Linked DNA regions of Alligator mississippiensis. The protein of the gene in region 4 purifies or fractionates together with the protein of the main gene of each other region. This does not show direct contact. Links are inferred from orthologs where the notes say so. Each region holds a gene or a part of one and is shown on either strand. Other genes may lie near its edges. The genes, in order: FAM120A, ARID1A, SMARCA5 and EZH2.

Region 1 (7,084 bases), on a different chromosome or scaffold from region 4:
TCTCATCAGTTACAACAGGAGCGAGGGGTGGGACTTCCACTATCACTGTAGGCTGAACTACAGCTGCCTCCAGAATGCAGGATGACTTCTAATGTGGGGCCTGGCAAACAAAATAGACCATTTCCCCCTGTAAAAACGAAGGTCTCATTGAGCCACACACAACTCCAAAAATTAGTTAACATGGTTGTTTCCCCTCTTCTGCTGAACAGTGAAAAAAACCCTTAACCTCAAATTCATCTTTTAGACACTATTTTCAAAAAATGCAATCTTTACAGAAACGCACCCCATCCTCAACGTTCTCCTTTGGCCCAGTTTCAGCACTGTGGTATAATCTGCCAAAAGGACAGTACAAAAGCCTGATAATGTTAAGCTCCAGTTACCGAGCACTGCACGACTCTGAAGGTCAGGTAATATTTACTACGCAGCAGAAGTAACAGGCAACAACTCTTGCAACTAGTGAGTATGTGCTCAACTGCTGCGCCCCTTTTCCTTAGGAGTTTAAGGAAACAGCTCCTGGAATTACACATTTTTGTTAAAAAATTATTTTTACAGTGAAAAGTATGTGTACAGTACCACTTTTGTTTTACTTCCTTTTCAAATCAGCAATACAGAAAGAGATTACCAAGTGGTCTGTTAAATGTAAAATGTTTTGTGGCCCTCAGAGCCATCTTTTCAATACTGGGGCAAACAGACTGTAGCAGACATATAAGTGCAGTCAAAACTACCAGCAAGTTGAGCCTTTTCCTTAAAATAAAAACATGTTAAAGTAAAATGGCTTAGACACATCTGTTAAGTAGTCTTTGGTTTATAAAAAAAGAGAGAGGGGGAGATAGTTAGGACAAGACTGTGATAGTTATGTAGATTAATCAAGTGTCATGCTACCTTTCATCCTTTATGAAAGTTGACTTTTTTTTTCCAGGGGAAGGAGGTGCTTTGTTTTCTTTTTTAATTCTTTATGTCTGACATGGTTATTCTGAGCATTTTATTGTAGATTCAGAACCTGTGCACTTCCTCCTCCATTAAGGCATGCACCTGGCTTCAATCTGGAGTCTGCCTCCACCTGGAACCTGTTGCTGACCTCTAAGGGAGACACTCACTTAACTGAACTCTTTTTAATCCTTAGATTGTAACGCCAGTTTAAATGCTGGCAAACAATGTAGGTCTTCATTTGCATAGGCAGATACAGAAGTGGAAGTATATTGTTACCTGTAGAGTTACTACTTAACCTGGTATCTCAGTCAAGAGACCTCTGAGAAACAAGTACAGGTCACAGAAATGAATGGAACAAAGCACCGAGATCATGGAGGCAGAGGGTCTAGCCTAACACCGTGAGCCCAACTTTTGAGGTAGAAACTACAGAAGCAGAAGAGAGGAGCAACTAACTCCTCAGCATCTGGAGGCCCTCCACAGCAGTGAGCCGCCACGTGCGAGAGGCAGCCAGGGCCCAGGGCGGATGCTCCGGGCTCCAGGCAAGGGGACACGGTGCTGAGAGGGGAGGAAAGAAAACGGAAGAGGCAGAAACTCGGCGCGAAAGGAGGGAGGTGGATGGAAGTTGCTGATGAAGACGTGATGGGGGAGAGGCCGATGGAGAGAAGCGAAGAGAAGGAAGAGGCGGACGAAGGAAATGAGGCGGCAAGTTTTCTCGGCCGGGCGAAGTTTTCCCCGGGCCGCGCCGCCAGCGCCGTGCCCGGCCCTAATCCGCGCCGACAGGTCGGGCCGGGGAGGGGCTGCTGCAGCCCCGCCACGGCCTGACAGCCCGGTATAAATAGAAAATCCCGGCGGAGATTGAGGCCATCAGGGTGCCCGCTAAACCCTTCCCGCCGCCGCGAAGGGCGCCCCGCCGCTTCTCGGCCGGCCTGGCCAGGGGGGCCCGCAGCAGCGGCGGCACAAACTTCGGCCGCGGCGGCAAGGCCTCTCCCAGGCCGCTCCGCTCCGCTCCCACCCGCCCGCCCGGGCTCGGCGACATTTTGCGGATGCGGGCTCCCCCGGGCCCGACATTACCGGGAGGGCAGCCCCGCTCGCTGCCATCTTAGAGCCTGGTGGCGGGGGCGCAGGGGCGCGCGGCGGCAGGGGGCGCCGCGGGGCGCAGGGCGGGAGCCGGGCCGGGCCGGGCCGGGCCGCTCACCTTGATGTGGAAGCGGATGAGGGCCAGGCGGATGCAGTGCGCCATGCAGACGGGCGGCAGGAACCAGACCTTGGGCGGCGGCGTGCCCTTGTTCTGGACGTGGCTGACGATCTGCTGCGCCGTCTGGCGCTCGTTGCCCTGGCGCTTCACCCACTCGTGCAGCCGGGCCTTCTCCAGCGCGCCGTTGAAGAAGACGAAGAGCTCGATGTTGCCGTTGAAGCAGGCCTTGGCCAGCGCCGCCAGGTAGCCCAGCATGTGGTTCCACTGCCCGCCGCTCACCCAGTCCGTGTAGAAGCCGCCGTAGAGCCGGTGCAGGCAGTTGTCGGCGTCGATGAGGAGGCGCAGGGGGGTCTGGGGGGGCCTCTGGCGGCCCCCCCCCACCAGGCTGCCCCGGGCCAGCTTCTGCAGCTCCACGGGCACCACGGCGCTGGGGCAGTGCTTCTCGATGTAGTCCTGGAAGCCCTGCACTCCCATGGCGAGGCGAGGCGAGGCGGGCGGCGGCCCGAGGCGGCAGCGGCGGGAGGGAGGGAGGCGGGCGGGCTTCGGGGCCGGCCGGCGAGGCGGTGGTTGCAGGGGAGCGGGAGCGGTGGAGCCGGCTGGGAGCGCGGGCGGGCGGCGGCTGTTCAGGGGGGAGTCGTGTGGATGAGTGGGGGGCTCATGGCTGCTGCGGCCGCCATGTGCTGCTCTCACAGAGCCATGGCTCGGGGATCCGGGCTGTGCTGCCGCTGCGGCTCCTACTGCCGGGGGGAGGGGGAGCGGCAGAGCGCGCAGGAAGCCAACCCGCCGCCGCCGCCGCCTGCAGCAGCCGCGCGAGCGGAACAGGCGGGACTTGGCCGCCGCCGCCGCTGCCACTCACAGCGGCCCGCGCACACGCGCCTCGGCCCGGCCACCGGCCCGCCCGCGGCCGCCCGCCCCGCCCCGCCCCGCCCCGGCCCCCTGCGCGGCCCCGCGGCCCTGCCCTGCCCTGCGGCTGCGGCACTGGGGCGGCGGGCCCGGGCGGCCTGGCGCGCGGCGCTGTTGCATAACCCGGGCATGCGCCCTGCGAGCGGCCGGCGCGGAGCGGAGCGGAGCGGAGCTGGCGCGTAGGCGGAAGTGGGGGCGGGGGGAGGGGCCCGGCCGGGCAGCGGCGGGGGGGGCACCTAAACCCCTCTCCCCCCCCGCCGGCCGGGGCGCTGCTCCCGCCCGAGCTGCGCGGCAGCGGCGGCGGCTGTGGCACGAGGAGGCTCTGCCGCAACTCGCTGTTACGTCAGCGCTGAGGGGAAAGCGATGCTTTTCCCCCCAGGAATAAATCCCCGCCGCCCCCCCGCGCTGTCATGGCAGAGGCCTACGTGCGACTCGTCCATTGGGGCCGAGGGCTCCGCTCCTCGCTCCCCGCCGCTCGCACTCGGCCTGGAGCAGTGCGGGGCCCAGCTCGGATCGGAGCCAAACTGGCCCAGAATCCGTTTCTGGCGGGTTTGGTTTTTCGGGGTTTTTTTCCCCCAGTTCGGCCACGCCGGGAGGAGCGAGCATGTGTTCCCGCCTCTGTAGGTAGAAATGCAGCAGCCGCAGTCACTCAGAAGTGAAGGCGGCAGTAAGGGATTAGGCTTATCCCGCCTGCGGCTGCAGGCTGAGCGCTGCCGGGGAAAGCAGCTGGAGGAAACTTGGTCGGCTGCAAATGTAGGCCCGACAAGCCCCGCTAGTCCAGCCCATGCCTCTGTCAGCAGCCTGCAGTTCGGAGCGCTTGGGCTCTCCAAAGTACGACCTGTTGTCCTTTTTTTTCAGAAGTGCTGCCAACGTTACGTTGGATAATTTTCTTATTCCAGCTTCAGATACTGAAATGGTTTAGAGGCCCACATTTTGGCTTCAGATGTTTCCTGGCATAGCAAGCTGCACAGTTTCTTTTAATATCAACATGGTGCCTTAATATTCCTCTGCAACTGTCAAGTAGGGCAGATACCTTATACTGACTTTAATATTATATTGGCAAAAATAACATTTATTTTAACAAGATTTCAGTTAGATTGGCACCTAAAATAAACATTCCCTTGTGACTCACTCGTAAGCAACTGGTTCCTAGGGAGTGGGCTGGTTTGCTCTTCAGCAGTATTATCACAAATCTGGAGGACATTTGTAGCCCAGAGTGACTGATGTAGCCAGTACAGACGGTGAAATACCCAAAAGTATAGAAGTCCTTAATGAAAAAGTGTTGTGTGGAACAGGTGTTTTTCTTTTAATACTTTGATAGCACAGACCTCCTTTACAAATATCTTTCTGCAAAGGTTTTCATGAGTACCTGGCAAGAGCTTTTATCCAAGTTAGCTTAATAGAAAGCTTAGTAGATTCTCCCTATAAAGTGTAATCATCTAATTTTGTTACAATATTAAGGATAATACGACAAAGCATCTTAGAAGAGTTTAAAATTGTACAAAATATGATGTGGAATAAGACACTAATTGGTTAGAAGCACAATTAAAGATTTAAGGGGTCTTTTAAAAAGTGTCCAAAGCTTCAGCAGAGAAACACTAAATGCAGTGCATGAGACAAAAAAAGGTCTGCGTTCAGTTAGTCAACAGTCCAGCCAAGGAAGAATGTAGTGTTCAGATCATTAATGTGACTTTGTGATAAACCATTCAGAATCGCAGACAGTGAATGAAAAGATTACAATCAACTTTCCTTCTTCAAAATAGTGTCTGTGAAGACATGTCTTTCCCCTTTCCGTCTCAGTCTGACATCTCTTGCACATAGTGCAGGCTTTTCTCAAATGAATCCGAAACATCACACAAAACAGCTGACTCAAAAAAGTAATCTATAGTTTATCATTAAGCAAGAGTTACCAGAGTACATTTACATTTAATATGCTGAGGGAAGAAATCAGACAAATAAAAACATGACACCAAAAAATCTGGAGATTTTTTAAAAGAGGAAACACTAGGCAAAAAGGACCTAAAACGTGAGGATATTAAAATCTTTACTCTTGGCACAGAGCTATTTAAGCATAACATAACTAAGTGACAGATGGCACATGTATCCCTAAACAAAAAAGGAAATAGGATGGAATTACAAAACAGTATGTTTCAAATGGTTATTTGGCCCAAATAGGTATTTTTCAATAATTAGAAATCTGACCAGAAGTGAAAGCAATAAAAAAGCAACATAAATTATGGTAGACAAAATTAAATTGGAAACTAGACAGGCTAGAAAGATTTAGGATCAAATAACCAAAGACATAAGATATTTTTTATATTTATCAGAAGCAGAAAGCCTGTGAAAGAATTGGTGGATCATTTGGCATGATCTGCTAAGTTAGGAAAGCATTTGTGGAGAGGCTAAATGATTTATTTTTTTCTCCATCACTGAGGATGAAGTAAGGACCTAAAGCTTTTCACCCAGTTAACAGGTATAGATCAGTGACTTATTAAAGATCAATGACTCATTATCCAACCTGCATATCAGAAAACTTGGGAGTGGCTTTTTTGGAAAGAACTGAGCAGGCATAGGGAGGAACTTGAAGTAACCAAGCCAGGGTTGAAGGTGTGAGATGAACTTTATTGTTTTTTATTTTTTTAGTTCATGAAATGAGGGTGAGTTTCAAATCTACTGCATTTGTACAGTAAAATAAGAAAGGCATTCACTTTTGCTGCATTTCCTCTTGGTCTCTGCTTTCTGTGGGTGTGAGAGAGTCTATGTCACTGGACTGCCACAGAACCCTCTCTTCTGTCCCTTCTTTAGAGAAATCTCTAAACCTTTCCTTGCTGCTGCTTTGCCCACATCACACAGAGTAGAAGTATATTCCAGGCCTGGGCAGTTCTATCCACTGGAGGGCCTCTTAGTGAGTTTTGGTAAGCTCTGCCCCATGACCGATGCCCCGCTCCCTGGTTGCCATCTTGGGACCGGAAGGCCTGCCCCCTAACCTTTGCCACCAGAAGTCCCTCCTCCCCTTGCCCCCACAAGTCATCCTTTGGGGAAGGGGATTTGCCACCTTGGAACCTGAAACTATATACTAAAAATAAAAAATGAACAGTAACATATGTTACTTTTATAGTAAAAAAATATGTTTGTCCTGATTTGTGTGGTGTATATAGAGGTGATTGTATAACAGCTCAAGATGAGGTCTTACTCTTGTATATTGGCAGGGGGGAGCGGAGGGTATGGATGGGTGGGTATGGGGTTTGTGGGGAGCTGTGGGTGGGTGTGGATGTGTGTGTGGGGGTGTGTGTGGATGTGAGTGGGTGGATATGGGGGCTCGGGGGTGTTTGTGGGGAGCTGTGGGTGTGTGTGTGTGGATGTGTGTATAGGTGGGGTGTGGGGGTGTGTGGATGTGTATGGGGGGTCAGGGGTGTTTGTGGAGATGTGTGGGTATGGAGTTTGTGGGGTGTGTGGAGAGGGAGAGTGTGGGTGCATGTGTGTGTGTGCAGGGGTGCATGCGGGGTTTGTGAGGGGATAGTCTAGGTAGGTGCAGTGTTCATGGGGTATGTGATTGTGTGTGGGGTTGGGTGTGGTTGTGGGGATTGACAGGGGGGCATGTGGTGGCGTGTGCATGAGGGAACCCCCAAGCCAGTCAGCATCTGCCCCCGCTCTGCAACAGCTCGGAGCCCATGTGCCCTGCAGTGCTTCCCCACCACCACCAGCAGCACGCAGCCCCAGCTCACCCCATGCCTGTTCTGGACTCACCCCTGCCAGAGCAGATCAGCAGAAACCTGGGCACAGTCCCAACCTGGCCCATCCCATATTGCCTGCCCGTTGCACATCCTTCTGTACCCCGGACATGCAGCAGGGCTAGGGTAGCTCCATGGCTGGTCTGCCTTTCTAGACAGCCCAGGTGGCAGTGACTTCTGGCTGCCACTACCGCTGGCCCCAGCCCCATGGTACCAGCAGGGACCTGCATGCAAAGCCCACAACCTGCGCACCACACCTGCTCTGGACTCACCCGCCCAGGCTCATTAGTGGTAGCACAGGACAGAAGCTGATTACTCAGTGTGA
Region 2 (7,694 bases), on a different chromosome or scaffold from region 4:
ATTTTACTCCTAATGTTGAATTCAGACACAGCCACCCCTCTCGATTAACCCTCGCTTTAGGCTGAAACGAGTCTCTCTCCAACGTCCAGGCGTACAAAAAGTTGTTATTATCTCGCTTGGGCCATTTGAAAGAGAGTCATACTGAAAGAGAGGGCATGGAAGGGGGTTGTTTCAGTTGAATAAATGAATCCCACGTTGCTTAAAGCTATGATTTGTTCTGTTCCACTTTGTACTTCCCTTCTGTTTTTGAGACCCAGCAGGTTGAGAGGTGCATGGCACGGGAAAGATCTGCTGAGTGTGTTGCAAGGCGCGGTTCCACTCCACGCCAAAAGCTCCAGTTCAGATTTTACAGCTCCTGGTGAGGGCTGCTAAAATAATGGATTTCCTTGAGTCAGAGTTGAGTCCACTTTCCTCTCTCAATATGCATCCCAAAGTTTTTCAGCTCACTGTCAAATGTTACTCAAATGTTAACGTTAGATTTTCCAAGTGTGTCGGAAACCTTAGTTTAGTACGGTACCTACGTTCTCGCTTGGTTTTGAAGACCTAGCAAATCCAGTTGAAAATCCACTCCAGCCTTTGAACTTTGCAGCTATGTATGTTCAGTAAACTGACAGAGTTACCTTAGCTCAAACTCCACTTCAGTTTTCACTGTGGAGATCTCTTACTGTGTGCCCCTTTGCCATTGTGGCAGTGCTTGGGAGGGAATAACACCAGACCTCGATATTACTTTCAAATAAGCATTGCCTTGTACAGTGAGCAGTAGATTAAAAACAGTCAGGAAATAAATAATTCAGAAATAATATTAGTGTTTAGCTTCTACAAAGGAGCAATACGAGCTGCTTCTCCTAAGCATGAGAGCATTGAAAATAGTGGAGAGTGTAGGGGCCGACGCACGTCAGGAGATTTACAGAAAACTTTTTTTTTTTTTGAGGGGGGGTGGGTAGAAACTGCTCAGCAACTCCATAGCTACTGTCATGTACTGCAGCTAAGCCTCCATCGCTCCAGTCCATATTTTGCAATGTGCTCTATGAATTATAATAGATTGGTCTCTTCTTGGGTCCAATCTACTCTCGCAGTAGCTTGTGCAGCTCAGTAAAATGGAAGAGCATCCTTATTCCCAAGTCTGAACCTTTCTGCTCAGCATTTTTATTCTTGTTTGCAAGAAGTAGTTCGTGCTTTATTACAGAAACTCTCTCCAGTTCCTACAGTGTGAATCCAGTCCACGTTTGTAGCCTGGTTAAGGGGGCCAGGGATAATGATAAGAACTCTGCTGTGCGCGCGTGTGTGTGTGAGTGTGCGAGAGAGAGACTTTAGTCCCGTTTCCATGTCAACGATTCAGTCCATATTTGCCATCACACAGTTGGCAAGAGCCTCTTTGAGGAGGGAGACTCTACTCCTGTTTCCAGTAGTCTAATCTATCCCAGGTTTCCTAATCTGCCGTGGTGCCAGGTTAAATGGCAGGGCCACCTTCATGAAGGAGATTCCACTCAGTAGGAGCCAACCTAGCGGCAGTGGCCTTCATTGCCATGTGAGAGACCCGAGTGAGACTTTCATCCTGTGGCATCTTACTAAGTGAACTACCTAGGGCCTTCCATGTTTCAGGGATGTATGTGGTAGCTGTGTTGGTCTGAGACAAAAAGAAATGCAAAAACCTAGACCTCTTGGCTCAGAGATGAGACCTTTTATTAGACCAAGTGAAAAACTGCAATAAAAAATTATATATTTTTTGCAGTTTCTCAGTTGGTCTCATAAAAAGTCTCATCTCTGAACCAAGAGCTCTCGAGTTGTGCATTTCTACCGAGGACCTGGCCTTGCTATTGCAGACTGCTTGGGGAGTGGGGAGGAGAAGAGTCTCTCGACGTGGCCTCAGGTCAATAAAGGAGGAGTTTTAGCACGTTTCAGCAAAGCCTTGCCCGGGTCTCTTTGGCTGGAAGGGGCACAGTCACGAGGCTAGACCATGAGGCTGATAAAAGACAAACATTCACAGGTGTTAGGGTTGCCAGAAGACCTTTATTCTCCAAATAGGATGGTAAGGATCTCACAAGGCATCTCGCTAGTTAATAAAATGGCAGGGCCTCATGGAAGAGTCCTAAAATGAGGTAGGGCTTTGCTCTGAAACATTGGTAAAAGGAGCGTCTCCTTGGTGGGGGTGTGCATGGGCACCGGCCAATGTTTTCCACGGCCCCTTTCGCTCTCCGCTTCACAGCGAGCCAAGGTGCTCTTTGGAGAAGGCTCCAAAAGTGCGACGCTGCAGACAGTAGCTGAGAGCAGATACTCGTTGTCTGCCTACAGGAGCCACTAGACTGAAGCCTCACGCCTGCTCTGTCTTTGAAAGACTCGAAGGCATTCAGTCAAAAAAGCAAGGCTTCATTTAATGAGGTAGCCTCCGGCCTGGTTTGTGGGGGAGAAGGAAATCAGGATTGTGTGGACCAAAAGAGTTGGGGATTCAACGAGAGAACTTCCACGATCCTGTTTTTCCTAGTGCGTCATTTTAAGAGATGAAAAAAGAATATCCTCTCTGTCTGCCCGCCGTGGACGTTACATCCTGTCACAGGGCTGGCACAGAGCACGAGGCCTCCTTCATGTGGAGACCGTAACATGGTCTGCTGAGGGAGAGTCGACTCCCCGGCTCAGTCTGGACCTCGCTCTTCGGTCGGACGTCAGATGCCTCTTTGCGAAGAGGGCTCGGGTCACTGTTTCCTCTGAGCAAAGTTTAAAGCCCGCCGCGGTGCCCAGTAAAACGTGAAGGCGTCTTCTTTCAGTCTAGGCCGGCTCAGCGACTGGGACAGGAACGTACTGTCTCCCTTTCCCCTGCGGTCTGCTTCAGAGGCAACACTCCCGGAGCAAGCTTACGGAAATACGCCCCACCATTCTCTGCTGGAGGACGAGTTTCCGTGCGCGGTGTCAGGGCACACAGACATGGGGGGAAGGATTGGGAAGCCAGAGATCTCTGAAATCTTTCTCTGCTCCAGAAAAAGCAACGGCAGCGCTTGCCTGTTGTCAAGAAAAGTCCGGCCCTAAATTCAGTGCTCAGAAACTGCTTCAGGATTTTGTGGCAATTGGCAGAGGACATCTTGAAAGAGAAAGAGTCTCCGATCCAGTTTGTGCCTGGAGAACATTGTAGGTCTGCGGGTTCAGATCGGATTGTAAGATGTTATTTTTTTCCAAAGCAGAGCTGATGCCTACTTTGCAGCCCCCAGCATTTCCCTGGTAGCTCCTAGCGTCTTGGGAGGCCAGTCCTGAGAGGGGCCTTTGGGTGCTGTTCTAATGCAAGGACTAACGTTAGCAACCGTTACATATTATCCCCGTACAATAAATATTAGGAAAAAAGAGAGGCCGAGTCTCTGTCTCCAGGCCAATTTGCTGAGGCGGAATTTGCTCTGTGTTGAACAGTCTATTGTAAACTGGCAAAGCTGCTTTTGTTAGGGAGCCTGCAATGCAGTTTGTGGCTCTAGAATATAGTCTGAATTTTGCTACCCATTGACTTGTGCAAATCCCTATCCCTGCCTCCACCTTCAGACTGAATCCCGTCTAGGTTTTAGTGTCCACGATTCTCCCATCTACGTCGTTAGAAAATATATATTCTACGCTTGGCCGTGAATGCCACTTCTCTTATAGGCTTGAAAGCCCAGATACCCACTGCACGTGCATGGGCGGTACTAGCACTTGTTCAGCGTCTCATCTGTGTCTTGCTTCTTGGGCCTCTGGTCTGCTCATTTGGATGCGCTTTGTGTCACGTGAACTGTGGCTTGCTAGCTATGGATTGCCACCAAAAACCCCTTTCCTGGGTAAACCCGAGGCAGGTAATTGCTGCGGGTGCCTTCTGTTCCCCGTGCCACCGGAGAAGGGAAAGACCGTTCCCACCAGCCCGTCCCTTGTTCAGGAACCCCCGTAGCAAACTCGTTCGACATATATGTACAATCGCGTTTGTTCGGGAAAAGTTCCCCCTTCCAACAAGCATTTCTGAAGTCGGGGGAAGTCTCGTCAACTGGGTTATCAACGCTGATATCACGAAGACTACCACTTCCTAATGCCGGAGACTTGATTTGGCGGTCTAAATTCACTTTTATTTTGATCTAGTTTCATTTTGTTATCGTCTTGGATCACACGCGTGGTTGAGGGAACCGTCGTCCCCGCGGCACGCAACCGCAGCGCTTGGGCTACAGGACTTGGGACAGGGCCTGCTGGCTCCAGGGGGGCTTCGCCTGGGCAGAGAAGACGGTTGTAAGGGGACCCTGAACCACCCCTCGACCCGCTCAGTGCCTGCCAGGGCCATGCGCTGGACACACGTGTATAAAATCACGGGGAACAAGGGCTGGAAGGGGCCTCGGGAGGTCAGAGCGGGGCCACCGGGCCTCCTGCTCCCGCTCTCTCCCCTTCCGCAGGTCTTCAGCGGGGGGTTCGCTGTCCTGACTTAGGGGCTCCGCAAGTGGCACGGGCCCAGCGAGGGGGTGGGGGTGGTGGGGGGCAGCATCTCCGGGGGCAGGGAGCAGAAAGTGGAGTGGGGGTGGACGCAAACAGCACTTCCCAGGACAAACCCTTTGCCAAAAAACCCACCAAAACCCAGTGTTTTGAAGTTGTTTTTAATGTCCTAAGAGCTGGTGGCACTTGCGAGCGAGCGAGGGCGCGGGGGCCGCTCGCCCGAGCTGGGGAAGAAAGAGACTTTCTTTCGGAGCGGCGCATTCCCGTCGCAGTCCGCTCCGATCCGCGCCGGGTTTCGCGGCGGGGGGGAAGGGAAGGGAAGGAAGGGAAGGGAAGGAGCCGAGCCGAGCTGAGCCGAGCCGCCTTTTGTGGCGGCGAAGGGCAGGGCAGGGCAGGGCAGAGCGGAGCGGAGCGGAGCAGAGCAGAGCAGGGCGCCGCTCCGCGGATCCGGATCCGCCGCCGGAGTTGCGAGGCGCCCGGGGCCGGCCGCTCCTCCGCTCTCCTTTGTGACGGGGGGAGGCTCCGCTCCGCGCGGCTCCGCTCCGGCCGGCCGCGCTCCGCTCCGGGTTTGGCAGGCGGCCGCGGCGCTGGGTAAAATGGCAGAGCCGAGCCTCGTGTCGGAGTGAGCCGGAGCGGAGTCGGGCGCTGCTCCTCGGCCCCGCCGTGTCCCGGCCCCCCCCGCCCGCTCGCCCGCCCGCCCTCCTCCCTCGGCCCGGCCCACTCGCCTCGCCTCGCCTCGCCTCGCCTCGCCTCGCGGGCCCGGCGGGGATGAGCCCCGCCTGAGCGGGGAGCAGCGGAGCAGCGCCGCGCCGCGCCGCGCCGGGGCGGGGGGATCATGGCCGCGCAGGTGGCCCCCGCCGCCGCCGGCAGCCTGGGCGCGCCGGCCCCGGCCGAGCTGAAGAAAGCGGAGCGCGAGCAGGACGAGGCGGCGGCGGCGGCAGCAGCAGCGGCAGCCGCGGAGGAGAAGCCGGCGGGCGAGGGCGCCGCCACGGAGGCGCCGGACGAGAGCAACGGCGAGCCCGAGCCGCAGGGCCCCAACGGCAGCGCGGGCCCGCGCGCCCACCCCGACCCGCCCGCCGCAGCCGAGGCCGCCCCGCCGCCGCCGCCACCACCGCCCCCGCCGCCGGCCTACGGCTTCGGGCCGCCCTACGGGCGCGGGGCGCCGGCCGCCGCCGCTGCCTTCCACCAACATGGCGGACAACAAAGCCCTGGCATGGCAGCGCTGCAGAGCGCCGGGCTGGAGCCGGCCTACCCGGGCGCCGCCGCCGCCGCCGCCGCGCCGCACAACTCGCACGAGCACGGCTTCGCCAACCACCAGTACAACTCCTACTACCCGGCCGCCGCCGCCGCCCGCGGCCCCGCCGCCGCCGCCGCCTTCCCGCCGGCCTACGCCCTCGCCGGCTCCCCGCGGGGCGGCGCGGCCAAGCAGCCCCCGCCGCCGCCGCCCCCTCAGCGCCTGGGCGCCGCGGCGGCCGCGCAGCCCAGCGCCACCCCCACGCTCAACCAGCTGCTCACCTCCCCCAGCTCGGCCCGCGCCTACGGCGGCGCCTACCCCGGCGGCGGCGGCGGCGGCGGCGGCGCCGACTACCCGCAGGACGGCGGCAAGGCCCCGCCGGCGCCCGCCGACATGGTGTCCCCGTACGGCGGCGGCGGCGGCAGCGCGGCCTGGCCGCAGAGGAGCCACCACGCGCCCGTGAGCCCCGGCAGCAGCGGCGGCGGCGGCGCGGGGCCAGCCCTCAGCCGCGGCCCGCAGGTGAGTGAGAGGGCGGCTGCCCCCCTCCGGCCCCGGGAGCTGCCATTGTGCCTGCGCGCCCGCGTCTAAAATGGCTGCCTCCCCCCGCCCGCCCGCACGCACGCACCGCCGGCCTTTGTGCCGCGGCCCGGCCCGGGCCCGGGCCCGCGCACCGCCCGGCGCCGGGATTTGAATTATGGAGGTAAAATCCTGCTGTCAAAGCCAGGAGACAGTTGGTCTTAGGTTGACATCCTCTCTGCGCGCTGATTGGCTCCCCCTCGCCTGCTCCTGGCCATTTGTAATTGCCTCTGATGTCATGGCACCGCCATCCCCTCCGCGCATCCCCCGCGCCCGCCTGCACGCCCGCCCGCCCGCCCGCGCGGCGCCCCTCGTCCCCTCAGCCACCGCCTCGGGGGAGGGCCGCGGGAGTCGTGCCCCCCAGCAAGCAGGCGGCTGCTGCCGCGTGGCCTCGGTCGCTCGAGGGCGCCTCGTTCCGGCCTCGGGAGGGCCCGTTTGGCAAGGTGGCTTCTCGGGATCCCCGGGCTTCAGGGCTGTTCTCGCACCCGACCGGGATCGTTTTCGGGAACGCCAGCGGTCTTCGAGCGCTGCGGGGCCCGGCTGCGTTGGGCGCGCCGCCCTTTGGGAGCGGGGCCGGTAAACGCGTCCGTGCGTTTAAGCCGTTTCTCTCGGTGTGATTTTCTTTTCCCCCCCTGTTTGTTGTTAAAGCCCCGGTGGAAAGGCGAGGGCAGGCTGTGGGGGTGCTGCACGGCACTTTTACCCATGTGCGAGTCAGACATTTTGGATCCGGAGCCAAGGGTTACTCACCTCTCGTTCGTATCTGTTCTTACTAGGTTTGAGGAGCCCCCGTCCGTGTGCGCGTCTCGGGCAGCGTTGGCAGACTTGTCTCTCTCCTCTCTGTCCTACCTGCGGAGACATTTGATACTCTAGAGTGTGACTTGCGCCTCCAGCTTTCCCTCCTCCGGCGTGGCTCCGAACTTTCATTTTTTGCTCCTTGATTACTGTCAGTGGTGTCTGCTTCCTCCTCTCCGAGCGCTGCAATCGCCCTCTCCCTTCAGTTGAAGCCCTGCTTCCTGATGAGGGTCTTCTCTCTGCTGCGGTCGCTGCGCTGTCTGCAGGGAAGGAGTAGGGACCCCTCTGGGTAGATATTCCAGTCCGCTTGTCTCGTGTTTGCAGGTAGGATCTTGTGGAAACCAGCAGGAAGGTATTTTATGGAGCAGTCGGGTGCTCTGTCCAAAAGTCCTCCTGGACCCAAACGGGTATGAAGAGGCAGCCAAAGATTAACCAGTCCAGGGAGGCGTGTGAGTGCCGTGGGCTACCAGTGAGAGAGACCACACGATAGGAACCTGTTCTTCCTGGAGGGTGGGAGCCCAGCCCTGCGTTGAACGTCCGAAGTGTGGCTTACAACCGCGTGAGACGCCTGGTCTCGGGTGGTTGGTGAGCGCACGTTTGGTGTCTTGGGAGCGAGTGTGACTTAGCATCAGCGCCGTGTCCAGAAAGTTTTGTGCTCCAAGGATGATCA
Region 3 (7,018 bases), on a different chromosome or scaffold from region 4:
TTCTCCCAGAAATACCTGGTCAAAGTGCCAGGAATCAAGTGAAAGGGCCTCAAAGTGCAGATCAGTAACATTTTTTTTTTCATTTTAAGTAACTGCATCACTACTGGCCACCAGTAACATACTGTATACATATCCAAAGTTACATACCATTTTCTCTTCATATGTGGGATCCAATTCTTGAATTTCTTTCTGTTTTCCTGGCGATGCATCATCAAAAGTTTCCTAAAAGGGGGAAGAGGCAAATTAAAGTTGTAACTTTGTGAAAAAAATGACTCAGCCTTATTCAGAAATTATTTTCTGCACACATTTTCTACCCGTAGTGGATGACTTCTCTCTTTCAAATCTTGACACATTAAAAGATTTACTTACCCAGGTTGTAGATTTTTAATATTCAGTTTACTCCTAAGGGCAGGGTGACAGGTTTGAAAAACATAGCTGTTTGGTTTTTTGTACCAAACCAATTTTGGTAGAGATGATGACTAGATTGTTTTTCTACTGACAAATTCTATCTATATATTAATTTGCTTTCTACTCCCCTTTATCCTTTAGAAGGATCCTTTTCTTTGATTACCCAGTCAAACTGGGATTTATTTGGTCCTTACTCCGCATCAGTAACCACCTTTCAACTCTACTATCAATATCACATTTTTACTTCTTTACCAAGCATTTATAAACTTCACTCTGCTTTGGATCCTCACACCAGAAACAATATGTGCTGTAACATTACAGGCAAAGTCCTGCTCTAGACTATTTGTGCTGAAGCTGCATCTTACTCTTTTTTTCAGGGTAGTCTGTAAAGAGAGTAAATAGAAACTCTCCAGGTGTCTCATCACCCATCTGTTTAGGTGACCCACATGAAAAGTTAGCTGAATTAATTCCCTGACAGCAGCTGGGAGCAGAAAAGATATGCTAAAACAAAGGAGAACACATGCAAAAACAATTAACAAGGAAAAAAACCCCGAATAGAATAGACAAAAAAAACCAGAGAGAGAGCGAGAAAGCATGGTCACTGTGTGAAAGGACAAAGCACAAGAGCATACCCAAATATGAAAGGTGCAGTTCCAGTTTAGAAATCAGTGCATTAACACAGTGGTCCTCAGTCCCTTTAGCCCTGCTAGAGCATCCTGCCTATCCAGACTGGACTGATCTGATACGCGACAACCTTGCTTAACAGTGAGAAGGACTGCAGGGCTGTGGCCCTTGTTTACGAGTTCAACTTACCATGAAATATCTTTCACAAAAAAATGCTTATTAAAAGAATAACACCACTTGTTAAAGGGCCAGCAGAGCCTGTAAAGTCCCTGGCAATAAGATTTGGAAAACAGAAGAGCATGGTAATTATCCGAGCACTTTTTTACCAAGATTACAATTTAAATCATTCTTGAATCTCCTTGCAAATAAGTCAAGTGGACTCTTCTTTAGGAATGTAGATTTCTTTCCATTAATATTTGGCAGAACTCTCTCTTGAATACAAAGGACAGATAATGATTGTCAAATGCATATTGCTCCATTTCAGTGCATAATGGCATGTTTCTCAATCCCCTACCTAATTATGGCATATTTCTCAATCTCCTAAAAGTACTGCTACTGGAGGGAGATTTCATCACTGTGTCTCTCTGTGTCCTACATGCACATCAACAGTTTAGTGTTCACAAGCGGTCTGTGCACTGCTACCATCACAGGAGTTACACTGGCAACGATGGCGTATGAGTGATGCAATAGCTGTGATAGTCCACAAAGCGTGTCCTACACTCAAGAGCTTGTCTACCTTGATCCCAGCTATGTAGTTGGTCCAATTAAGGCCACCATCCTCAGAAATCCTACCACCAACAAGGAAGGAAGATCAGAAGTGTCAGCACAAACAAAGCCCCAGCTGCTCTCATCTCTCTTGCATTTCCTGCCACTTTCATTAACTAGCTCAAAAGGCTACCTCTGGGTGACAGCATGCAAGCAAAGAGGCTAACGCTTCAGAAAGAACGCCTTTTTAGTTGAGGCGACAGTCAACGGTCCAGCTAGAGAAAGAGAGCAGCACATTTACAGCTACGATCAGCACACTGGGTGGGGAACAAAAGGAGGCAACAAAAATCGGTACTGAGGCCAACGCAGCACACTGCTTCCACTGGAAGACAGGACCCTAAGTCTTCAAAGGACTCCAAAGCACCACCCATCACACACAAGAAGACATGGACCTCTTCTCCGGTGGCCCTTTGCCTCCCCCCCCCAGCTTTCACTCCTCTAAAGAAGCTTTAAAGATAAACAAATAAAGCTGTCCAAGCCAGTCCTCTGAAGCCGGCTGGGCAGACTCAGGCGTTAGAAGCAGGATGGACTCATTTCCCCAAATCGCGAGCCACAACCCCGGCTGAGCCAGGCTGACGCTCCCGGCGAAGAGCTCGGGGACGCGGGTCCCGGGCGGCTGCCCCCGCTGTGGGGGGGGGGGCTCCCAGGGCGGCAGGACACAGCTGCAAGGGAGCAAAGCTCCAGCCCCGCCGCTTCCACGTGCTCGCCGCCTGCCAGTCCGCCGGGGCTGCCCTGCCCCCGGCCAGCCCCCCGCGCCCACCCCCGGCTCCGCTCGCACACGCGGCCGCGGCCCAGGCGCCTCCTCCCGCTCTATTGTCTGCGCCCCACGCGGCGTCGGGCCGGGCCGGGGGTGCCCTCCCTCACCTCCATGTCGGCGACGCCAACGGCCGCCCCCGCGCTGAGGGGAGCGGCCCCCACCACCACTGCCTCGCCGCTGGCCGGAGCCGGAGCTGGAGCCGCGGCAGGAGGCAGGCTCTCGTCCTTGGGCGGCGGCGGCTCGTGCTGCCCGGCGGACATGATGCCGACGCGGGGGAGGGCGCTTCCCGGCCGGCCGCGTGGGGTGAGGGAGGGAGGGAAGGGGAACAGTGTCCGCCGCCGCTCAGACCCCGCGCGCTGCCCCCGTCCCGGCTCGCTCCGGACCCGCGCCCACCAACCAGCACCCGAGCCGGCTCCCAGCTCTCGCGAGAACTGGCGCGGGGGCAGGGAAAAGAAGCTCCCACAGCTCTTCCCGGAGGGCCGGGGCAGAAGCCGAGTGCGCCTGCGCGCTGAGCGCTTCCCGGTTGGCTATGGGCTGGGAAGACGCGTGAGCTGGCAGGGCCAGGCGCGAGGAAAGGGGCGGGGCGAGCTGGAACGTTAAACTGCCGCGTCACTCTGGCTCCGCCCCGCCTCGCCTGGGAAAGCACGTTTATCACGCGTGGGGCAACCGGGAACTGAAGTGTTCGAACCGGCTTGACGTCACCGGTGGTGGCAAGGCTCGAACTCTTGGTCCCGGGAGCTCAGCTGGTCTGGAGCGCGCTGCTTCAGGTACCGAGGATCGCCGCGGCGGGAGCAGCACGAGCTACCCAACAGCTGCAGCTGCTGCTACTGGCAGACGCACACTGTGCTGTTAAACTCCAGTTGCTGCCCCGCCCCTCCATCCCATCCCCTGGTAGAATTAGCAAAGGGGGGGCGGGGGTAAAAAAAAAAAAGGAATTAGCAAATGAGCAATTAGCAAACTGGAAAGGCTTGGGACCTGAGGAGGAGGAATCGCCGCGGTCAACTCAGGACCCCCTCCCCCTCAACAAGTAAAACAACACATTGCCTTAATAGATTAAAAAGAACAACACAAAAGAATAACACAGCCCACCCATAATGACAAGATTGTAACAAAACAATAACAATTATAATATTTTGAGATTATAACGTATTAAATATTAAATACTGCTTTAATATTAAAAATATATTTAAATAAATATATAATACCTCATATAGGTGCACTGTGATTCTATAATATATAATATGATATTAAAGTATATATAATATTTTCATATAATATTTGGTGAGTCGTGTTGTTTGATTGTCAAATCAAGAGGACTAGAAATGGAAAACAGATGAGGTTAAGAGTCTCTGATATGAAGAGGCTTCAAGAGCCAGGGCTTAGAGAAAAATACGGAAAGCTGTGATTGTCAGGAGCCAGGCTTAAAAGAGATTAACACAGCCAAGAAGATCCAGAAAGGCACTGAAGTGCCAGAATCCTCTTTGAGCAACATTGACTTCCCAGTGAAGTCAACAGGCACCTAAATACTTTTTTTTTGATCTAGCTTCTCAGGCACATCCAGATGAGCGCACACCCATCTCCAGCACCACACACTGTGTGCACTGCACATGCAGGCATTCCCCACACAGCCAATTTGCGGCATAGGAGGGCTTTTTGACACTTGGAGATCCTTGTGTCAAAAAAACTTTGTGGGACCCAGCCTAAAAAAAGTAGGGTGGCATATGTGGTGGCAACATGGGGTGCCCAAAACCAGAGCCTGGCCAGCCAGAGCCACACTCCGGCTGCCAGCCAGGCTCCGTGCTGCTGGATTGCTGTGGCTGCAGCCCCCGGAGGCCTCCCAAGACCCCAGGTACAGCTGCTGGGGCCAGCTCAGATGCTGGCCCCCGTTGCGCTCACAAACCAGATTTCGAGCCTAGTGCTTTAAGAACTGACACAACACTTGGTTGATTAATAGCAGAAAGGCTTGCTTGAATAACTACAAACAAGCTATAAAACTGAATGACAGAAAAAGACTCTTTCTTAATATTCAGTACATGAACTATTACAGTCCTTGTACTATTTTAGCTGCAAGAGACTTTTACCCAAGCAGGCAGGAAGCGGTTCTTATCCTTACAGTTTTCACAGAGCTTGGGTCCTTCATTTGTGGACTGGGTGCAGGATGGCTTCTTATAGATTTCATAGACATTAGGGCTGGAAGGGACCTCGGAAGATCATCGAGTCCAGCCTCCTGCCCCAGGGACAGGAAGTCAGCTGGGGTCATAGGATCTCAGCAAGATAAACATCCACATTTCTCTTGAAGGCATTCAGAGTAGGTGCTTGAACCACCTCCGATGGCAGGCTGTTCCAGACCTTGGGGGCTCAAACAGTAAAAAAAATTCTTCCTTATGTCCAGCCTGAAACAGTCCTGCAGGAGTTTATAACCGTTAGACCTTGTCATCCCTTGGGGTGCTCTGGTGAACAAACCTTCCCCCAGATCCTGGTGGACACTCCTTATAAACTTATAGGTGACCATCAGATCGCCCCTGAGCCTGCACTTTTCCAGGCTGAAGAGTCCCATAGCTCTCAGCCTGTCATTGTAAGGTCTGTTTTCCTGACCTTTGATCATGTGCGTGGCCCTCCTCCAGACTCTCTCAAGCTTCTCCACATCCTTTTTGAATTGTGGAGCCCAAAACTGAACGCAGTATTCTAGCTGCGGCCTCATTCTTGATCTTCCCTGGACTGCACACCTTGCTGGCAGTTCTGTCTTTCTTTTTATACTGTTTTAATTGTATAGCTTCTAAGCATTTTTCTTTGATGGTTGGTCAATTAAAGACCAAACAAAACGGGGAGGAAAAGGGGGAACAATCACATTACAATTATTAAATTGCCTGGCTCCTGTTTTTGGATTTGTCCAGGTGTGAAGACTTGTGTTTCTTGCAGCTACTGACTAGCTCATCAGTTAAATGTGATGGGTCCTGAATAGCTAAACAGGATACCTAGAGGCATTGCTTACCGGATCTGTCTTTGGGTATTTGTTTAACAATGGGACAAATTTGCAATAGCTTGTACTGGTGGTTATGGTCTATTTACAAAACTCCAGACAGACATTGAACAATTGAGACTTTTGTAACACCTTAGATATTGAATGCATGTTTTGAGAAATATGAGCATGTGTTTATGCATTTTTTTTTGTCACATACAGGACACCTTTCCTGTATTCAGTGCACCTTTTACAGGTTTTGCTTGAAATGTATATTTAATCTTCTTTAGTTGCTAGTTCAATTGAAATGTATATGTAGTTTCCTTGCCTTCTCTAGCTCAGCCTCTCTCTCATAGCTTGGATATATACATGTGATGAGTGTGTCAGGTCTCTGCCAAAAATTTTCCTTTTAGAGGAACCATCACGCTTATTTATAGGCTCGGTTGTGGTAGAAGGTTGAGGACTATTAGCATGACTGCGATCATCTTATGGCATGGGTCTAGTATTGGGTACCGCAAGCTCCACTTTCTTTATGCCTAATGCGTTGCAGCCATTAGCGGAGTTTGATTTTCGTTGTGGCAGACTTGTTACTACAACCCAGTCTTGCCTCAGCCACTGTCTTGCATTTTTAAATTTCACAGCCATCAGCCCCAGCCTCCCCTACCCCACCTGGGGCAGCATGCTGCGTGCCAGAGTGCATATGCATGGGTGTTCCCTGGGGACAAGCAGCAGCAGCACATATTGTCCAACTAACCCAGGATTCTGTCTCCAACAACACCATGCTTTAAGACAGTGGTGCTCAATCTTTTTCGCTGGTGAGCCGGATGGGCAGTAACCAGTCTGTCTGCAGCCCAGACCCAGCAGGTTGTCCTGATCCAGCATCGAGAGAAAAAGCAGCAGGAGCCTGGGCCTGATCCAGCCATTAGAGGGTAAGGTAGAGTGGCCTGACCCTGATCCAGCCATACATGTGTGATAGGATCTGTTGTGCCATCCACATAATCACACCTCCTGCCATGCCACACATGCAAGGCAGCAGGCATGATTGTGGGACCCAGCATCAGATCCAATTACGCCTTACGTCAGTTCAGTGGGAGCCCCATGAGCTGCTGCAGCTGGGAGTCCCACAACTGATGGAGCCCACAGCTAAGGAAGTAATTGTGAGATCCAGCAGCAGGACTCGTAGGGTGCTCCCCCCAGCTATGACCAGTGCCAGGCCCCAGATTCTGGCCCGTGTTTCAATTGGAGCCCTGGCAGTCTCTCTGAAGATGGGCGAGTTGGTCTGACCAAATGTGTTGGGTTTTTTTTAAATTTTGGGGCAGCTGAGACCATTCAGGCCCTAGCAAAAAAAAAAAAAGCCAGCAGCCCGCAGAGCCAACCTGAGCAGGGTGCGGGGACCAGGGCAAATCAGCCCATGTGGGGCCCTGCCCCTGCTCTGATCCCACGTGCTTCGGACCCAAAGAAGCTGTCGCCACCATCAACAGCAGCGTCATCAGCAGCGGGGGGTA
Region 4 (7,391 bases):
GCTGCCCACAGCCTGGGCTAACTGCAGCCAGGATGCTGTAAACTAGAGTGCTGGGGTTATGGAGCCCCATGCAGCTAACATGGGTAGGACAGCTGTGCAAGCACCTCTAGGTGAATGGCTGGGAAGGGGCTTGGGGCAACACAGGCCTGGCCCTCCCTTGCCATCTGCCCAGAGGCATGTGTTCAACCACCACTGCTAAGGCTGCGGAGCCTAGCGCAACTGCCTGCAGCTGCCCCACCATCTGCTGCAGCTGTCTGGAGTCCAGGCTGGCAATGGCAGGCAGCTGGGAGGCAACAAACAGCTGCTCTGTGATCTGCAGCCCCACCATTGGCTCAGTGGTGGCAGCAGCAGCTCTGCACACACCTCTGGGCAGACAGCAGGGGAGGGGCTGGGGTTGTGCAGTCTAGACCCCTTCCCAGCTGCATGCCCAGAGGTGTACATGCAGCCATCGCCACCAGACACAGTGGCGCAGAGCCCAATACCACAATTTTCAGCCTTCCGACTGCCTGACAGCTAGCCCAGGCTCTGGGCAGCTACAGCAGGTGGCAAGCAGGCCGCAATCAGAGCCCCAGCACCAGCTCTGTGCCACTGGTGGGGGCACACATGCCTCACATTGCATGGCAGGGAAGGAGCCGGGGCAGCGCAACCCCAGCACCTCCCACGCTGTCCACCCAGAGGCGCATGTGCAGCTACCACCAGCAATGAGGATCAGACCACTCATGGGTCCCACGCCTCTGGCATGCCAAGTCAAGGTGTGGGTGGAGGTTCGGGTGTTTTCTGGAACCTCTGGCCAAAAACGTTGCTGACCCCTGCTTAGACAATGTCCAAGAGCTCATGACAGTCAAGACAGTGCTTTCTAATTTACAGTACAGAGAAGTTACTGCATACATTGGCTGTCCACACACACTTTCTACCGCAAATGTACTCTTAATGTACATTAAGAACATCCCTACAAGCATTTATTGCAGAGTACCTAGGTTACTGCAAATTCATCCCTTAGCTTACTAAGTAGCAGCTTCCCCAAATATAGAAACATTAGCACAAGCACAAGGATATACTTTCTACATTATAGCCTTGTTAGTGCTGGATCCAGTTATACGAGCAAACTGGATTCTAGGCTGATACACAAACCTTCAACAAAATTGCTACCTAAATTCCATTTAAGAGTCTTTAGTAATTCTAATGAGAGGCAAAGTTACTCCGATTTCGATCTCAGTCTACAGCCCATTAAGAAAACAATTTGTAAACTGAGCAAATTTAATCTACAAGTCATTGCCACAGCAGGCAGTCCCAAAGTGTCTGTCACATTTCAGAATACAACTATATTTTAAAATCTGTATAAAGAAACCAAACCTTGCATATATCCTATTATGCTAAATTAGGATCCTGAAATGCATCAGAAAATGTAGCTGTTGATACCTCATGCTAAGTTTTAAAGAATGCTTTTAAAAGAAACCTCTGCCAATACCCCATAACTATTGGGGGGGATATTTTCACAAACTATCTTTTCATAATCCTCTCCACAGCAACCAAACAGTAGGTGGTCTTTTTGGGCAGGAAGCAAACAAACACAATAAATAAATAAATAAATAAATAAATAAATAAATCTGACTCAGTTTAACATTCAGTCTTGCACAAATACAGAATGTTTAAACCAAAAGTTCTACGTTTGTCCGCATCAAACTACTTCAGAAAAAAAAAAAGCATGAGATATACTGTCCGTATCACCGATCTTCATAAGGTCCTAAGTATTCAAATCATGACAGACCAAATGGCAGGTACTTTTAGAACACTGCGTACATGTACTCACCCTTCACAACATGCTTTCTGGTTACCACAAATAAACATCCCAGGAGCTCCCAGCTGGATATGGACACTTGGGACAAAGAAAAAGAGCAGCTTTTAATGAACTGTTACAAGTGACAGGCAAGTTCCAGGAAAGTCCTAAACCCTGGGAACAGAAGAAAACCCCCGATTCGGAAATCAAATGAGAACTCGCCGCACAGGTTTAGGTCTCAAAACTTACGGCCAATCCCCACAGCACCCCCCATACAAATCCTTTTCTGCGAAAGACGACAATTGTAACTTGGGGTCATCAAAAAAGGATTCCTGCTCCCCTGTTTCCCTTGGGAGAGGGGAGAAAAACAAAAAGCTAAACTCCAGCTTCCTAGTGGCAGGGGGTTGTGGGGCTGGGGCACCAACCGGCTGCATAGCAGAGCCCCCAGAACAAAAGCCTCCAGCCCTTCCCCTGACAAGCTGACACTGCCAGTCCGCCTGCCCGCCCACCCCACTAAGTCTTTCCAGTCAGAACCAGGCGCCCGTGAATCAGCCCTCCACCTCCGCCACCTTCCCTGGGCATGAATCATTTGCCCCAAGTTGGGGGATGCTCCCCAACCCCTTTGCTGACACCTATGGCGGAGACTCAGAAAAGGAAAATAGAGCAAACAGAGGGCTGGGAACAGCCCATGCTCGGCTCAGCCTCGACAGCTTTCCCGCCATGGCCAAGGGGCCGGGCTCACAGCAGGTCCCCGCCGGCTCCCGAGCCGGTCGCACGCGGCCGCATTTGCCCCGCACTTCCCCCAGAGGCGCTGGCAGGGGGCGGGGGAGGCGGCGCGTGCATCACAATAGCGACCGGAGCTGGCGGGCGGGCAGGCGGGGGGAGGGGAAGCAGCGACCACGGGGGCCGCCTGGGCTAAGCGGCGGCTTCCGGCTGCGGGCAGCGCACGAGGCTGCCGCGGCCCCGCCGAGCCCGGAGGCGGGGTGCTCCCCGGGGGCCCCTTCGGACGGGATCCCGAGCCCCCACCCCGTGCCCGCGGGAGACAAAGGGCGCTGTCACCCGGGGGGCGGCCTCCACCTCCACAAAGGGGGCGCCGGTTATAAAGAGCCCCCAGCTCCGCTGACGTGCAGCCTCCTCACCCGCCGCCGGCTCCCGCGAACGCCCGCCGCTGCCTCCGGCCGCCGGATTCACCCTCCCGGGCGGACCGAGCGCCAAAGCCCGGCGGCCCAATCCGCGTCGCGCTCATTGGCGACCACCAAGCGCCGCCCCGATTGGCCGGCCGCGGCGAGAGGAGGACGGTGCGCAGGAGCCAATCCGCGGCGGCGGCGGGCGGGGTCAGCGCTCCCCACGTGCGGGAGGGAGGGGGGCGGGGGAGCCCTTTGTTCTCGCGCTCAGCGCGGGGAGGGGGAGTTTCAAGCCTCCCCCCTACACCGGCCCCGCTCCACGCCGGCCGTGGGCGCGCGCGGGGGGGAGGAGAGGGGTTGGGGCGCGGGGGGGACCTTGAAACTGTCATTTGCGTCACGGAGGGAAGGGGCTGCCCTTGCTCGGCGCTGCCGAGTTTGAATCAGTTCGAAAGTGGGAGCCGTAACGGTTCTAACCGTCGCGCCTCAGCGGCGCGCGCGGGAGGGGCACAAGCGGGGGGCGGGCTTGGCTGGGCTGCCTGTGTGCCCCCGGCGCCTCCTGCCAACCTGTTGCGACCCGAGCGGCTCCACTGCCGCAGTCCCTGCTGCTGCCCTTTCCCCACGGGCTCAGCCCCGGCTCGCTGGAAGCCCCGCCCCGGCTGACACCTGCCGGGAGCCGGCCTCGGGGACGAGTCTCAAGCCCAGTTCAAAACTGTCCCTAGCGCAGAGCGGGGCCGGGAGCAGCCTGGGCTCCTCGCCCCTCCCTTTCCCAAAGACCCTTCGCATCCTCGGTAGTGTTTTTCTCCACATCCAAGCTGACAGTGCAGCCCCGGACGGTCGCGAAATTCCCAACAGGCCCCTTGTTTGCTAATAAAGATGTTGACAAACCCTCAAGCAGCTTGCTGCACTTAACAGGATGCCACGTTTCGCAAAACAGCTTTTATCCAGGGCTTTTAGTAATGCCCCATCTTGCAGCATTACCCAAAACCTAATGCCACTGACATCAGCCTTCCTCTCAGGCCTCTAATTTGTGGGCTGCTGTCTATTCGGTCTTGGCCACACTGTCAAGTGGAGGCCATGCTTAAAGTTTTCCTGTTGCTTTCTCTACAGCATCCCCACAAAAAAAGGCTGTCCTGTCTGTCTACGCGGCCTTCTCACTCAGGCTGTCATCATCCCACACTCTTGCTTACTACCTAAGCCTTTTCCTTGGCCTTCTAAGGAAAAAGGGTTTTTTTTCCCACTCATGCCAGTTCAAAACTAGGGTAAATATGATTTTACCAGCTCAGCATTTTGGCCATGTCACCTTTTTTACATCCCTCTACCAGCTCAACTTTATTAGCTGGACCACGCAAAAGCCACTTGTCTGCATTTTCATGGTTATTCATAGCCCATCCCCATATTACCTGTTAGCTCTTTGTCATTGTCAGACCTCAGCTCCCAAGACTCATTGGCCTGGTTTCATTGGCAGAGTTTCCTGTTAAATTTCATGTTACATTCTCAATCAGAAATGTGCATGCTTTCTCCTAGGCTGTAACTCAGACTTATAAGAGGCTCCTCTAAGTTCTTCAAGTCTTTTCTGAAAACTGTCTTTGGCCATTATACCTAAAAATATCATTTAGGCAAATAAGCATGCAGAAATCACTGCCTATTGCTGACTGGGGTCATTTCCTTGTACTTTTGCATCTGTTTCTCTATCTGTATTTACCTGTTGTCTCATCTTATATTGGAAGTTCTTTGGTGTCAGAGAACCAGGTGTCTGTGTTGTCTTTGTACCACAATTAGCACAAGGGATCCCGAATATGATCGAGGCTCATTGGTCCTGCCATAACGTATTTATCTGTAAAAACAACAGCCACATTCAAACAACCATGAGTTACCCCTCTCCCAAATAATTACATCAGTGAAACACCATTTTTTCAATAATACATTCTGGGTGTTTTTTGTTTTCCCATTACTGAGTCTTTAGGGTTCACTTCAAATTTGCAACCTTTCCCCAGCAACTATAAAGACTAGAAATGTATTTGTCTCTTAATTCTAGCAACCTGTGTTTCAACAAAAATCTAAAATATCACAAAACTTAAAGAAAATCTTCTGACCTGATAGAACTATAGCTCTGTCTCCTTTGTTTTCTGATCCTTACATTGAGTCAATGTTAATAGTTCATTTTTATTGTAACATCTTCCTTTGCAAATAAAGAAACATAGCAGTTACAAATTCTCCTATCCCTTTCTTAATTCCAGCAGAAAAAAAATGATAATTTCAAAAGATTCCCGTTTGTGATTGTATTTACCAAAATTGGCACATTTCTAAAATGGGATCTATTGATCAATTCTGGATATAAAGCTATTTAAAACTACCCCAAAATGGCTGCCAAATTTAAGATGGCCACCCAGTTCTTTGCTATTTAGAATTTGAGACCATTAGTTTGTTTTCAGTGAGGAAGCATAAAATGGTCCTAACAAATAATGTTAAAAATAACTTATTGTAATTGGTTTAGTTAATTTTATTACTGAGAAATTAATATTAAACTGTTAACAGATCCTCATCTCAGATGTCTGCACTTCAGTGGAAAGTTGTTTGTGCCCGGAACTGTGGGCATGTCTACACGTACAATTAATGCGACTGAATAAACTCTGGTGCAATGTGAGCCAGAGCAAACTAATACTGACGACACTGTCTACACATGCAGTTAAGCGCAGTAATTTACTCCACTGTTGGATAGTATCTCTGTCTGACGACTATCCAGCGGCTCTGTAAATTAGTCTACACTGGCCCAATTGCCGTGCATATGTAAACAATGACAGTTTACTGCACAGTAAAGCATATATGTAGATGTATCCTGTTTGGAGTTAACTAGTTCCAATTAGGAAATCAAAGATCAAACGCTCTGAAAGGACTGGGTTTTTTTGGTGGGAGTGGGGGTTGTGTACTTTTTTAAAAAGAAATACTCTTTCCATTTTAGTTGAATTGTGTTGCCTTGATGTGTAAATCTAATCAGAAAATAACTCTTAAAAAGCAGACTGTCTGATCATCAGTCTCCTGCAAACAGCCTGAGTGTTGGCAGTTGTTTTTTCTGCTCCAAGGTGTTTAAAGTTGCAAAGAGCTGCTTGTAGACTTTCCATTCTCACTGAGCAAAACCTCCCAAGTGGCTTTCTGTTTCTGACTTATTTTCATAATGGAAGAAGGTCTTTTTAACTAAATGTTCTTCTCCAAGAAAGGAAAAGAAGATGTCAGATACAAAAGATATAATTCATAATTTATAGAATATCATTTGAATGATTAAATTGATATTTTGCAAAGTTATTTCATGCATTTTAGTATATTTCTTGATGAAACCATCTAAATTAAAGCATTTGAAAATCATGTTAATGTTCAAAATGTTTAAATTATATAACAATGGAAACAAAATCCAAATCAGAAAAAAAATCTGATTTGGATAGTATACATTTCTTTAGATTATTCTAAACATTTTTATTTCTTTATTCATCATTTTTCTGGTTTGGTCCTGTTCCCTTTGACAAAATCATATGAATTTTCATAGAAGCAGGATTGGGTCCAACCCACCAGTGAAACATGCCTGTTTTTTGATGCATGAATCAAGTATTACATAAAGAATTTACAGAGTATTGAATTGTTATATGCTATGAGTCAGACATCTCAGCACTGCATTTGGCCTTAAAAACATTTTAAAATGCCAGAAGTGCAAGCAATTCTGATCATTTATATAGGGGCAAACTAATAGCATGTCTTTATTTATTCTTAAATTACAGGCATCTCGTGGAGAAAGGGATACAATAGTGTAAAGCAAAATTAAACACTGGTAGGCTCAAAGTAGAACTTTTTTTTTAAACGTGAAGAAAGTTTTTTTTAACAAATATGGGCTTCTGATCGTGTCTCTAATAATTTCACTACCAATTTCTGCAGTAAAGGGCCTCTGATAGTATCCCTGTCTGGAGGAGCCAGGCAGAATCAGTGGAGGAATCCCTTTAGTTTGAAAGATTCCACTTTTTTTAAGGCAGGCCTAGAACACTTGTTGATTGGATGCCATACAGTGCTTCCTGCTTGGCTAGGAGTGAGTACAGTACATGTGAGCCAACTCCACCCCTATTGCCTGACATCAGGATTATTGGTAGCTGATGCTATGGCTCTTACAAGGAAGTACAAAAATGTTTAAATTTCTGCCTTGTCAGCTATTTCACAGCTGTCCTCTCTACTTTGAGATATGGCTGCAGCTAGTGACAAAGCAGAGGTTTTTTGGGGGTGTGGGTCTGTAATGTGGCATAATTTAGTACATTTTAAGCATTAGTTCTTTATATATGGCTGAAATTCACTGGGTCCAGTCCTGCTTCTATTAATTAAATTAGAGAGGGAATAAGTACATTTTTTAATTTATCAAAGGACCAGTAGTCCTTTTTCTTTACATGGACCCACACTCTCAGAACACATGGAATAATCAAATTATTTGTTATAGCAGGCGGACAATGGGTGTGAGC

The links.
Region 1: the proteins of EZH2 (region 4) and FAM120A purify together in Homo sapiens (affinity purification with mass spectrometry, with the first as the bait; 3 studies listed by BioGRID). This does not show direct contact. The link is inferred for Alligator mississippiensis from reciprocal best matches to the Homo sapiens genes EZH2 and FAM120A.
Region 2: the proteins of EZH2 (region 4) and ARID1A purify together in Homo sapiens (affinity purification with mass spectrometry; 3 studies listed by BioGRID, with this or other methods). This does not show direct contact. The link is inferred for Alligator mississippiensis from reciprocal best matches to the Homo sapiens genes EZH2 and ARID1A.
Region 3: the proteins of EZH2 (region 4) and SMARCA5 purify together in Homo sapiens (affinity purification with mass spectrometry, with the first as the bait; 3 studies listed by BioGRID). This does not show direct contact. The link is inferred for Alligator mississippiensis from reciprocal best matches to the Homo sapiens genes EZH2 and SMARCA5.

What each region holds. Positions count from the first base shown.
Region 1 is NC_081835.1:26,558,480-26,565,563, reverse strand, and holds the start of FAM120A (constitutive coactivator of PPAR-gamma-like protein 1), read right to left. Parts: upstream 3,011-7,084; 5' UTR 2,600-3,010; coding exon 2,126-2,599; intron 1-2,125. UniProt on the Homo sapiens protein: Component of the oxidative stress-induced survival signaling. May regulate the activation of SRC family protein kinases. May act as a scaffolding protein enabling SRC family protein kinases to phosphorylate and activate PI3-kinase.
Region 2 is NC_081829.1:2,932,098-2,939,791, reverse strand, and holds the start of ARID1A (AT-rich interactive domain-containing protein 1A), read left to right. Parts: upstream 1-4,684; 5' UTR 4,685-5,257; coding exon 5,258-6,175; intron 6,176-7,694. UniProt on the Homo sapiens protein: Involved in transcriptional activation and repression of select genes by chromatin remodeling (alteration of DNA-nucleosome topology).
Region 3 is NC_081825.1:102,404,047-102,411,064, forward strand, and holds the start of SMARCA5 (SWI/SNF-related matrix-associated actin-dependent regulator of chromatin subfamily A member 5), read right to left. Parts: upstream 3,018-7,018; 5' UTR 2,815-3,017; coding exon 2,662-2,814; intron 223-2,661; coding exon 148-222; intron 1-147. UniProt on the Homo sapiens protein: ATPase that possesses intrinsic ATP-dependent nucleosome-remodeling activity.
Region 4 is NC_081828.1:117,666,915-117,674,305, reverse strand, and holds the start of EZH2 (histone-lysine N-methyltransferase EZH2), read right to left. Parts: upstream 3,021-7,391; 5' UTR 2,917-3,020; intron 2,875-2,916; exon of another isoform or gene 2,855-2,874; intron 1,883-2,854; exon of another isoform or gene 1,877-1,882; 5' UTR 1,849-1,876; coding exon 1,811-1,848; intron 1-1,810. UniProt on the Homo sapiens protein: Polycomb group (PcG) protein. Catalytic subunit of the PRC2/EED-EZH2 complex, which methylates 'Lys-9' (H3K9me) and 'Lys-27' (H3K27me) of histone H3, leading to transcriptional repression of the affected target gene.